2 linked regions of the Mus musculus genome follow. The protein of the gene in region 1 purifies or fractionates together with the protein of each later gene. This does not show direct contact. Links are inferred from orthologs where the notes say so. Each region holds a gene or a part of one and is shown on either strand. Other genes may lie near its edges.

The links.
Region 2: the proteins of Ppp2r2d (region 1) and Ppp2r1b purify together in Homo sapiens (affinity purification with mass spectrometry; 4 studies listed by BioGRID and IntAct, counting the BioPlex papers as one, with this or other methods). This does not show direct contact. The link is inferred for Mus musculus from reciprocal best matches to the Homo sapiens genes PPP2R2D and PPP2R1B.

What each region holds. Positions count from the first base shown.
Region 1 is NC_000073.6:138,844,846-138,848,755, reverse strand, and holds the start of Ppp2r2d (serine/threonine-protein phosphatase 2A 55 kDa regulatory subunit B delta isoform), read right to left. Parts: upstream 2,371-3,910; 5' UTR 2,248-2,370; coding exon 2,241-2,247; intron 2,146-2,240; exon of another isoform or gene 2,145-2,145; coding exon 2,052-2,144; intron 298-2,051; exon of another isoform or gene 91-297; intron 1-90. UniProt on the Homo sapiens protein: Substrate-recognition subunit of protein phosphatase 2A (PP2A) that plays a key role in cell cycle by controlling mitosis entry and exit. Involved in chromosome clustering during late mitosis by mediating dephosphorylation of MKI67.
Region 2 is NC_000075.6:50,866,803-50,870,612, forward strand, and holds part of Ppp2r1b (serine/threonine-protein phosphatase 2A 65 kDa regulatory subunit A beta isoform), read left to right. Parts: intron 1-25; coding exon 26-140; intron 141-523; coding exon 524-594; intron 595-860; coding exon 861-995; intron 996-3,260; coding exon 3,261-3,434; intron 3,435-3,810. UniProt on the Homo sapiens protein: The PR65 subunit of protein phosphatase 2A serves as a scaffolding molecule to coordinate the assembly of the catalytic subunit and a variable regulatory B subunit.

The sequences.
Region 1 (3,910 bases):
CAGTAATACATTTTATGCCAATACAGAAGAAACAAAATCAATAAACTATGCCACATAAAAGTCACCTGACTTCAATCTGAAACCATTCACCTCTGCAACTTTTGGAGAGCAGTTTCACAGGCCAAGATGACCTGTTCCGGTCTTGTCCCTGGGACCACAGGCCTCCAGATGTTCTCAATGGTCATGAGTCAAGCCAGACACTTCCAGAAGAGACAGGGTGGAGGAGCAAACAAGAAGCAGGACAGGACATCTGAGGAGCGCCTGCTAGTGAGGAGTGTGGGTGGAGTGAACAGACGTCTTTAAAAGAAAGTGAAAGCCCATGGTTTATTAGACACTGAACGAGTTGCTTTGAGTCTAATATAAAATGCTAATGTCAAATCTCTAAGAATAAATCCCACAGTCTTCACGCTCTCCTACTTCCCTGTCTACCTACAATGATGGCACATTTAAACTGTGATCAGGGGAAAGAAGGCAGCAGACTGAAGCTTTGAGGATAAGGAACAGTTTTATGGAAAGCTGGGCTTTGATTGCAATGCTTGCCAATAATTTCAGAATTTGGGAAGTAGAAGCAGCAGGATCAAGAATTCAAGGCCAAAGTTGGGCACAGCAGTTTATGCCTTTAACCCCGGAGGTCAGCCTGGTGCACAAAACCAGGGCTGTTCTACAGAAAAATCCTGTCTCAGAAACAAACAGTTCAATGCCAGCCTCAGCTATATAGGGAGTTTGAGGCCAATCTGAGGTACATGAAATTCTGTTTCAAAAAACAAAAATAAACTGTAAGTGGGTGGATGAGACTGCTTAGCAGGTAAAGCCATTCGCTGTCAAGCCTGATGGCCATCCCTGGGACTCACGTGGTAAAAAGAACCAACTCTGCTAAGTTGTCCTCTAACCTCCACACGTGCAGGAGCACGAACAGGCAGGCCTATGCTCACCACACACACACACACACACACACACACACACACACACACACACACACACACAGTGTGTGTTTGAAATCCCAGGACTTGGCTGGATGGGACAACATCAAAAAACAAAGTCTGGAGAAGTGACTTTAAAGAGCAGTGTGGGAAGAGAAAACACTACTCAGTTAAAAAAAGAAAACCGCCACTACTGTAGCGCTTCAGGAGACCCCATGACAAATAAGTTCCTCTTGCTCAACAACAAGAGGTGGAGATCCAGGGCTGACCGACGTCTACCTGGCCAGAGATTGGACTGGACAGACTAGCACACCTACGACCACAAACAGGGTATCCAGAGCACTCGGTGCTCCATCCCGTCCTGAGTCCAGTCCAGCATGGGCCCCCGGAGACTGATAACCCTGCATGGTTCTCCTTCCACCTTATACGGGTGCCAGGGAGATAGATGAAAGACCCTTTATATTGCATGGGCTCCCACATTAGTGTCTGGGACCTGATTTACCCCACAGGGCCTCAAGATCAACTGCCATGCCCCCCTATCTCTCTCCTTTCACAAAAATGGACCTCACCTCACCCCGTGGTACCAACTCCTAGCGGAATCCCGGGGTCGCTGCCTAGTGTCTACAGTCCTTTTTCTTCACTCCGTACAGACGCTAGTGAGACATGCATTTAAGATCGTTATACACCCCAGACTCCAAAGACCTGTGGCCGCATCTTCCTTACATGGCTCGATACCTCTGCCCCGGCCTTACCTTCTTACAGACCCTCGAGGCCGGCGTCCACGGTCGTCTCCCCATAGCCTCCCGAGGCTGGCCTCCATGGCCATCTGTGCCCACCGACCCCTGAGGCCGGCGTCATGGCCATCATCCCCATAGCCTCCCAAGGCTAGCGTCCACCGCCGTCTCCCCAACAGATCCCCGAAGCGGGACTCAGCCGCAGTCTCTCCCCAGCCCCGCGTCCGCAGCCGTCTCCCTACGGACACCCCTCCCTCTCTTCAGCCGCTGGCCGGCCGAGGGTCTCCCGGGACAACGCCGGTCAGGCGGGCAAAGGCGGCCGCGTCCGGACCGGCGGCTGAGCGAGCATGACCTTGCGGGGCTCGGGGGTTGGGGTGGGGTGTCGGTCGGGCCTCACCTTCCGCCACGTCCTCGTCGACAGCGCCCTTCACCTGCGAGAAGCACCACTGGAAGTCGTTGCCGCCCGCCGGGCAGCCGCCGCCTCCAGCTCCTGCAACAGAGCGCGCCGTCAGGCCGGCCCCGCCCCGCCCCACCACCGTCCAGTCCGCCCGCCCGCCCCGCTCGCTCGCTCGCGCACGGCCCTCACCTGCCATGGCGCGGGCGGGACGCGCCCAGCCGAGCGCGGCCGACCGAGGCGCTCCGAGCGCTCAGCCCCGGCCGCCACCGCCGCCGCCGCTGCCGCCACCGTCGCCGCCGCCGGGGAGGGAATTTTTTCCCCTTTTCAAAATGGCGCCCAATGCCCGTCGCCCCGCCGGATGACGTCATCCCCCTCCGCCTCCTCCGACGGTCAGTGCCGCGGGGGCTGCCGGGGGCGCACCGTGCGCCGACTGCGTCTGCGCGAGCTGTCTTGAGGTTGGACCTACGTAGCCGCTGCGGTCCAAGGAGAGGAGTGTCTTGGACTAGTCCGCTGGCAGATAGAGGCGGCCTTCTCGAGTCGTGTCAAGGCTAGGACGCGACGCCCTCTACGTTCTTAAGGCCTCAGACTTTCTTCTGCGGCCGGCTGGACTGGATGCTCGAAGGCCTGGGCCTTTCCTACAGCTGAGCCAACGGGAACGCGGAACCTCCGTGGATCTGCCAATAGAGAGCGCTCGGCCGTGGGCAGGCGGGGCCTCTGATCCCCGGAGCACCTGGAACCCAGCACCTGCGTGCGTAATTTTGCCCATCATCCAGGCTCTCTTGCCCCCAGAATCTTTGATCGTAGCTTCTGAGCACTGATCTCATCAGAGTGCTACTTCAGGGATTCTTTGAGCTCTCAGTATAGCCCCTAGGGAACCGTTCTCGACATTTGCTTTATTTGTGGGTGTGTTTTTCTAGCATGAAGAGGAATTATTTGTTCGTGGGCTTGACTTATCCGAAATCACTATGAAGTTGGCAGTGAGCGTACTGCACCACTAGAGGGCAGTTGTTCCAAACCAGAGCATTCTCCACTTCAAAAATGTTTTGCCTTTTAGCAAGTGCTTTTTCTATTCTCAGTCTTGGCTGGGATGCTGCTTGTGTAGAGGTGATGTGTCTGTCCTGGTGGAGTTTACTCTTCAGCGGAGAAGAGACAATAAGAAAAACCTGGGGAAAGTTAAGTGGACTAGAGTTAAATACAACACAGAAGCAGGGGAAGGAGATTGGAGCAGTTGGTATCTTTAGGAGAGCAATTAGAGGAGATAAGAAAGAATCTCAGGCTGACGTCTTGGGCGGCTGCTAGAAATGAGAACAGCTAGTGCACAGGCTGGGCCACCCTGACCTTTTCTTTCCGATGTTTTATTTTTAATTCAATTGCACACACACACTTTGATTAGGGTCTTGCCATGTAACATGAGGCTGGTCTCTAAATTGAAATACGTCTGGTTCCACCTCGTTGGCGCTGGGTTTACAAGCACGGAGCACACCTAAGCTTGCTAATGTGTTTAAAGGGCAGCAAGAAGCTGTGGGGAGAACAGAAGTGGCCAAGGAAGGCTAGTCATAGCAGTGGAGGCAAGGTGGTCCGGGACAGAGCAGGAAGCTGTTTTCAGGGGGTGAACTCTGATGAGAGGGCTGGCTATGGCCAAGAGCTGGAGAAAGTCATGAAGAAATAGGGCCTTCCATCAGTAGCAGCACTCAGGGTTGTTTCTGAAAGAACTGTCTCTGAGTTAAGTAGGAGGATAAAATGAGCTGCATGTGTCTGGGTGTATGAGAGTAATGGAGAAGAATAAGAGACATGGAGTAGTGAGGATATAGGAATGTCACCCAGATGACACTCCAGAGCATCAGGAGAGTTAAGAGCAT
Region 2 (3,810 bases), on another chromosome or scaffold:
TAAACCTGTATAAATTGTTTTCTAGCTCCAGAAAGCGGTGGGCCCTAAGATTGCACTCAGCGACCTCATCCCCGCCTTCCAGAGCCTCCTCCGAGACTGCGAAGCTGAAGTCCGAGCAGCCGCTGCCCACAAAGTAAGAGGTGAGACTGGCCGTGGGGTCCTTTGACTTTGGTGGTGTCAGCTCGCTATAGTTTGGTTTGGTTAGGACCGAAAACATAAACCAGGGAGAGATGAGTCCACGCAGCAGCATTTCCGCCCACGCTGATGCATTTGTTGTGTTAGGAAGTTTGGCATGGTTTTGATTTATAAGATGCTGCAGACGGATGGCACCAGCATGGCAGGTGGCACCGTCAGACTGTCCCATAGGTTAGGTCAGGAGGGCCTCCAGGCTGTGCTGTGTGGACCAGGCTTACTGCCCCTCCACACTTTATTTGCTCAGACTGACTTAACTTGGACTGTTGGGAAGAGCTGGGTAATTGTCTTTGGCTCCTTGACAGCATTGCCTTTTCTGTTTCTGTTTCAGAGCTTTGTGAGAACCTGCCCGCTGAAGGTAGAGAGACTGTAATTATGAATCAAATCCTGCCCTATATAAAGGTGAATGTGACTTCATTTTATTTTGTTTACTCTACCTACGAAGCTCTTAGCATCTAAAGAAGGAAGAGGCATAAATTAATCAAATACATAATAACATTAGTGCAAATGTTTAGAGTTGATTTGTGCGCGTTGCACTGTAGAGCTTGTGGGCGCATAGCTGTTACTACAGACGGCCAGGTCAGCTGTGCTGTTGGCTGGTGCTGCTGTGGACTCCTCGGGAGGTGCTGTAGAGGCTTTTGTTGTCTTTAATTTTTATTCTCTTTTAGGAATTAGTGTCTGATACCAACCAACATGTCAAGTCAGCGCTAGCTTCTGTAATTATGGGATTATCTACAGTTTTGGGCAAAGAGAATACCATTGAACATCTTCTGCCTCTATTTTTAGCTCAGTTAAAGGACGAGGTGAGTCTGGGTATGAATCCTTTTGCTTTGATATAATTGATTTGATATGATTTTGTTTCTTTTTTTTTCTTTTGGGTTTTCTGAGACAGGATTTCTTTGTGTAGCCCTGGCTGTCCTGGAACTTGTCGCTTTGTAGACCAGGCTGGCCTTGCACTTAGAGATCCATCTGCCTCTCTCTGTCTCCCAAGTGCTGGGACTAAAGGGACTGTAAAGCTTTGGTTTGGTGATTTTACTAAAATAGGACCCAAAGTGTAAAGATGGGGAAAATCATAGTCTAGATATTTGACAGTCCTTCTGTTTGGGTGTAGGGCTACAGGTTTCCCCAAAAATGGGCACAAGGACTAACTAAAAACAAACCAACTGGGTGTGGTGGAGCATGCCTTTAATCCCAGCACTCTGAAGGCTGAGGCAGGGGGATCTCTGAGTTCAAGGCCAGCCTGGTCCATAGGTCAAGTTCCAGGACAGTCAGGGTTACCCAGAGAAACCCTGTCTCTAAAACCAGAATCAACCAAACAACCAAAAAAGAGGAGCTGGAGAGGGAGGGAGCCTCGTAGCAAACAGCACTGGCTCATTCTTGGTTTGGTTCCCAGAACCCACATGGGTTCCTCAACTGTCAGTGGCTCTAGTTCAGGGATCTGATGCCTCTGTGGTCACCCGCAGGCACCAGGCACACAAATAGTGCATAAACATGTTCATGCAAAACAGTCATGAAATAAGTCTTAAAACCATCCAAGAAATGCCTATTAAATGTTTTATATTATAGTCACTGATTCCTTATATTTAAAGCTCATATATCTTTGCTTAAACTGTGTCTTTTTATTTAAGTTTAAAGTGTAGCTTCAGATACTAACATTTAGTGGCTGGAGATTTGGCTCAGCAGTTAGGAGGCCTGTCGCTTGTAGAGGACTAGAGCTCCAGTTCTGGTGGCCATGTTGAGTGGCCCTCAACTGTTCATAACTCCATCTCCAGAGGGTCTGGTCCCTTGCTGGCCTTTGTGGGCACACACACACACACACACACACACACACACACACACACACACACACACACACACACACACGGGCACATGTGCACGTTACACAGACAATACATACATTCGGATAAAAATGTAACAGGTAGTGCCAGGCATGGTCTGAGAGCTTTGGATATGTCATTAACTGTAACTGCTGCAGTGGGCTCTGGGCTTGGTTCCTCCCGGTGTAGAGGAAGGAGAGACCAGGGAGTAAGATGTCTGCGGTCTCCCTGCAGTGGCAGAGCTGAGTCCCAGGGCCTGGGCCCTTTACATCTCATAGACTCTGTGCTTACTTATTAATTAAAAGTCTGAAAATCTTTATTATTATGTGAGCGAGCGTACACTGTGTGCACATACAGAGTTCAGAGGCTGTCTCTGTGGAGTCCGTTCTCTCCATCCACTTTATGTTGGATGTTCTGGGGATAACTCATGTTCTGGGGATCGGATCCTGGCTGCTAGGTTTGTGAGGGAAGCCCCTCTTTCTGCTCAGCCATCTCGCCTGCCAATTTGTTAATTGATTTTTTAACTTAGTGTACAATCTCCCGTAGATGGATGGTACAGGCTTTTTACTGACGTGTGGCTAAGGTCAGTGACATTGTATCTGTGCACTTAGTGTTAAGGATTTCCTTCTGCAGTAGCTTTTCTATAGTTCTGGTGGTTGAGTCCAGGGCTCTGCAGGATGGACGAATGCCTTTCCTACCCAGCCACACCACAGCTTACCCCCACCTTTTAAAGCCTGAGCCTTTTCTTTTCTTTTCTTTTCTTTTCTTTTCTTTTCTTTTCTTTTCTTTTCTTTTTCTTTCCCTTTCCCTTTCCCTTTCCCTTTCCCTTTCCCTTTCCCTTTCCCTTTCCCTTTCCCTTTCCCTTTCCCTTTCCCTTTCCCTTTCCCTTTCCCTTTCCTTTTCCTTTTCCTTTTCCTTTTTTCCTTCCTTCCTTCCTTCCTCTCTTTTTCTTTCTTTCTTGTTTTTTTTGGTTTGTTTGTTTTTGTTTTTTTGTTTTTTTTTAAGATGGGAGTCTATCTGTGTATCCCTGGCTGTCCTGGAACTCACGTTGTAGACCAGGCTGGTCTTGAACTCAAGAGATCTGCCTGCCTCCACTGCCCAAGTGCTGGGTTTAAAGGTGTGCGCCACCACCCAGATTAGTACTTTTTAATTTGAAATTCTACTTAGCACTTTTTATTTTCTCATGCCAGGAGACTACTGGGCAAAAGAGTTAATTTTCACATGTAGTCTCTGGGGCTTGTGTGTTTATAGTGTCCAGAAGTTCGTTTAAATATCATCTCCAATTTGGATTGTGTGAATGAAGTGATTGGAATCCGTCAGCTCTCTCAGTCTCTCCTTCCGGCCATAGTGGAACTGGCTGAAGATGCCAAGTGGAGGGTCCGCCTGGCTATCATTGAGTACATGCCGCTGCTGGCTGGCCAGCTGGTGAGTACCTGGGCTTTGCCATGGTTTGAGGGTGGTTTTGGTTTTCAGTGATCTATTATGGCCTAACAGGAGGGTGGTGCAGAAACACAGTCACCTTGCTGCCTCCTCAGGTTGAAGGTGTAGAATGTGCTTCTGTGATAGCAATGTTGTATTATTTAAACCCTATATAATTTAAGGACTCGTGTATGGAAGGGAAAATACAGTTTCAGGATAAGTCGGTTTGGCTTTTTGTTTGACTCTGTCCTAAGCAAAATGAATTTGGGAGCAATTTTTTCTGCATCCTGATGAAAAGTTGAAGATCCACTACACAGGGCTTATAATGTGCTGTTCTGGATAAAGGTATTACACTGCCTATTTCTCTGGGTTCGTTATTAGT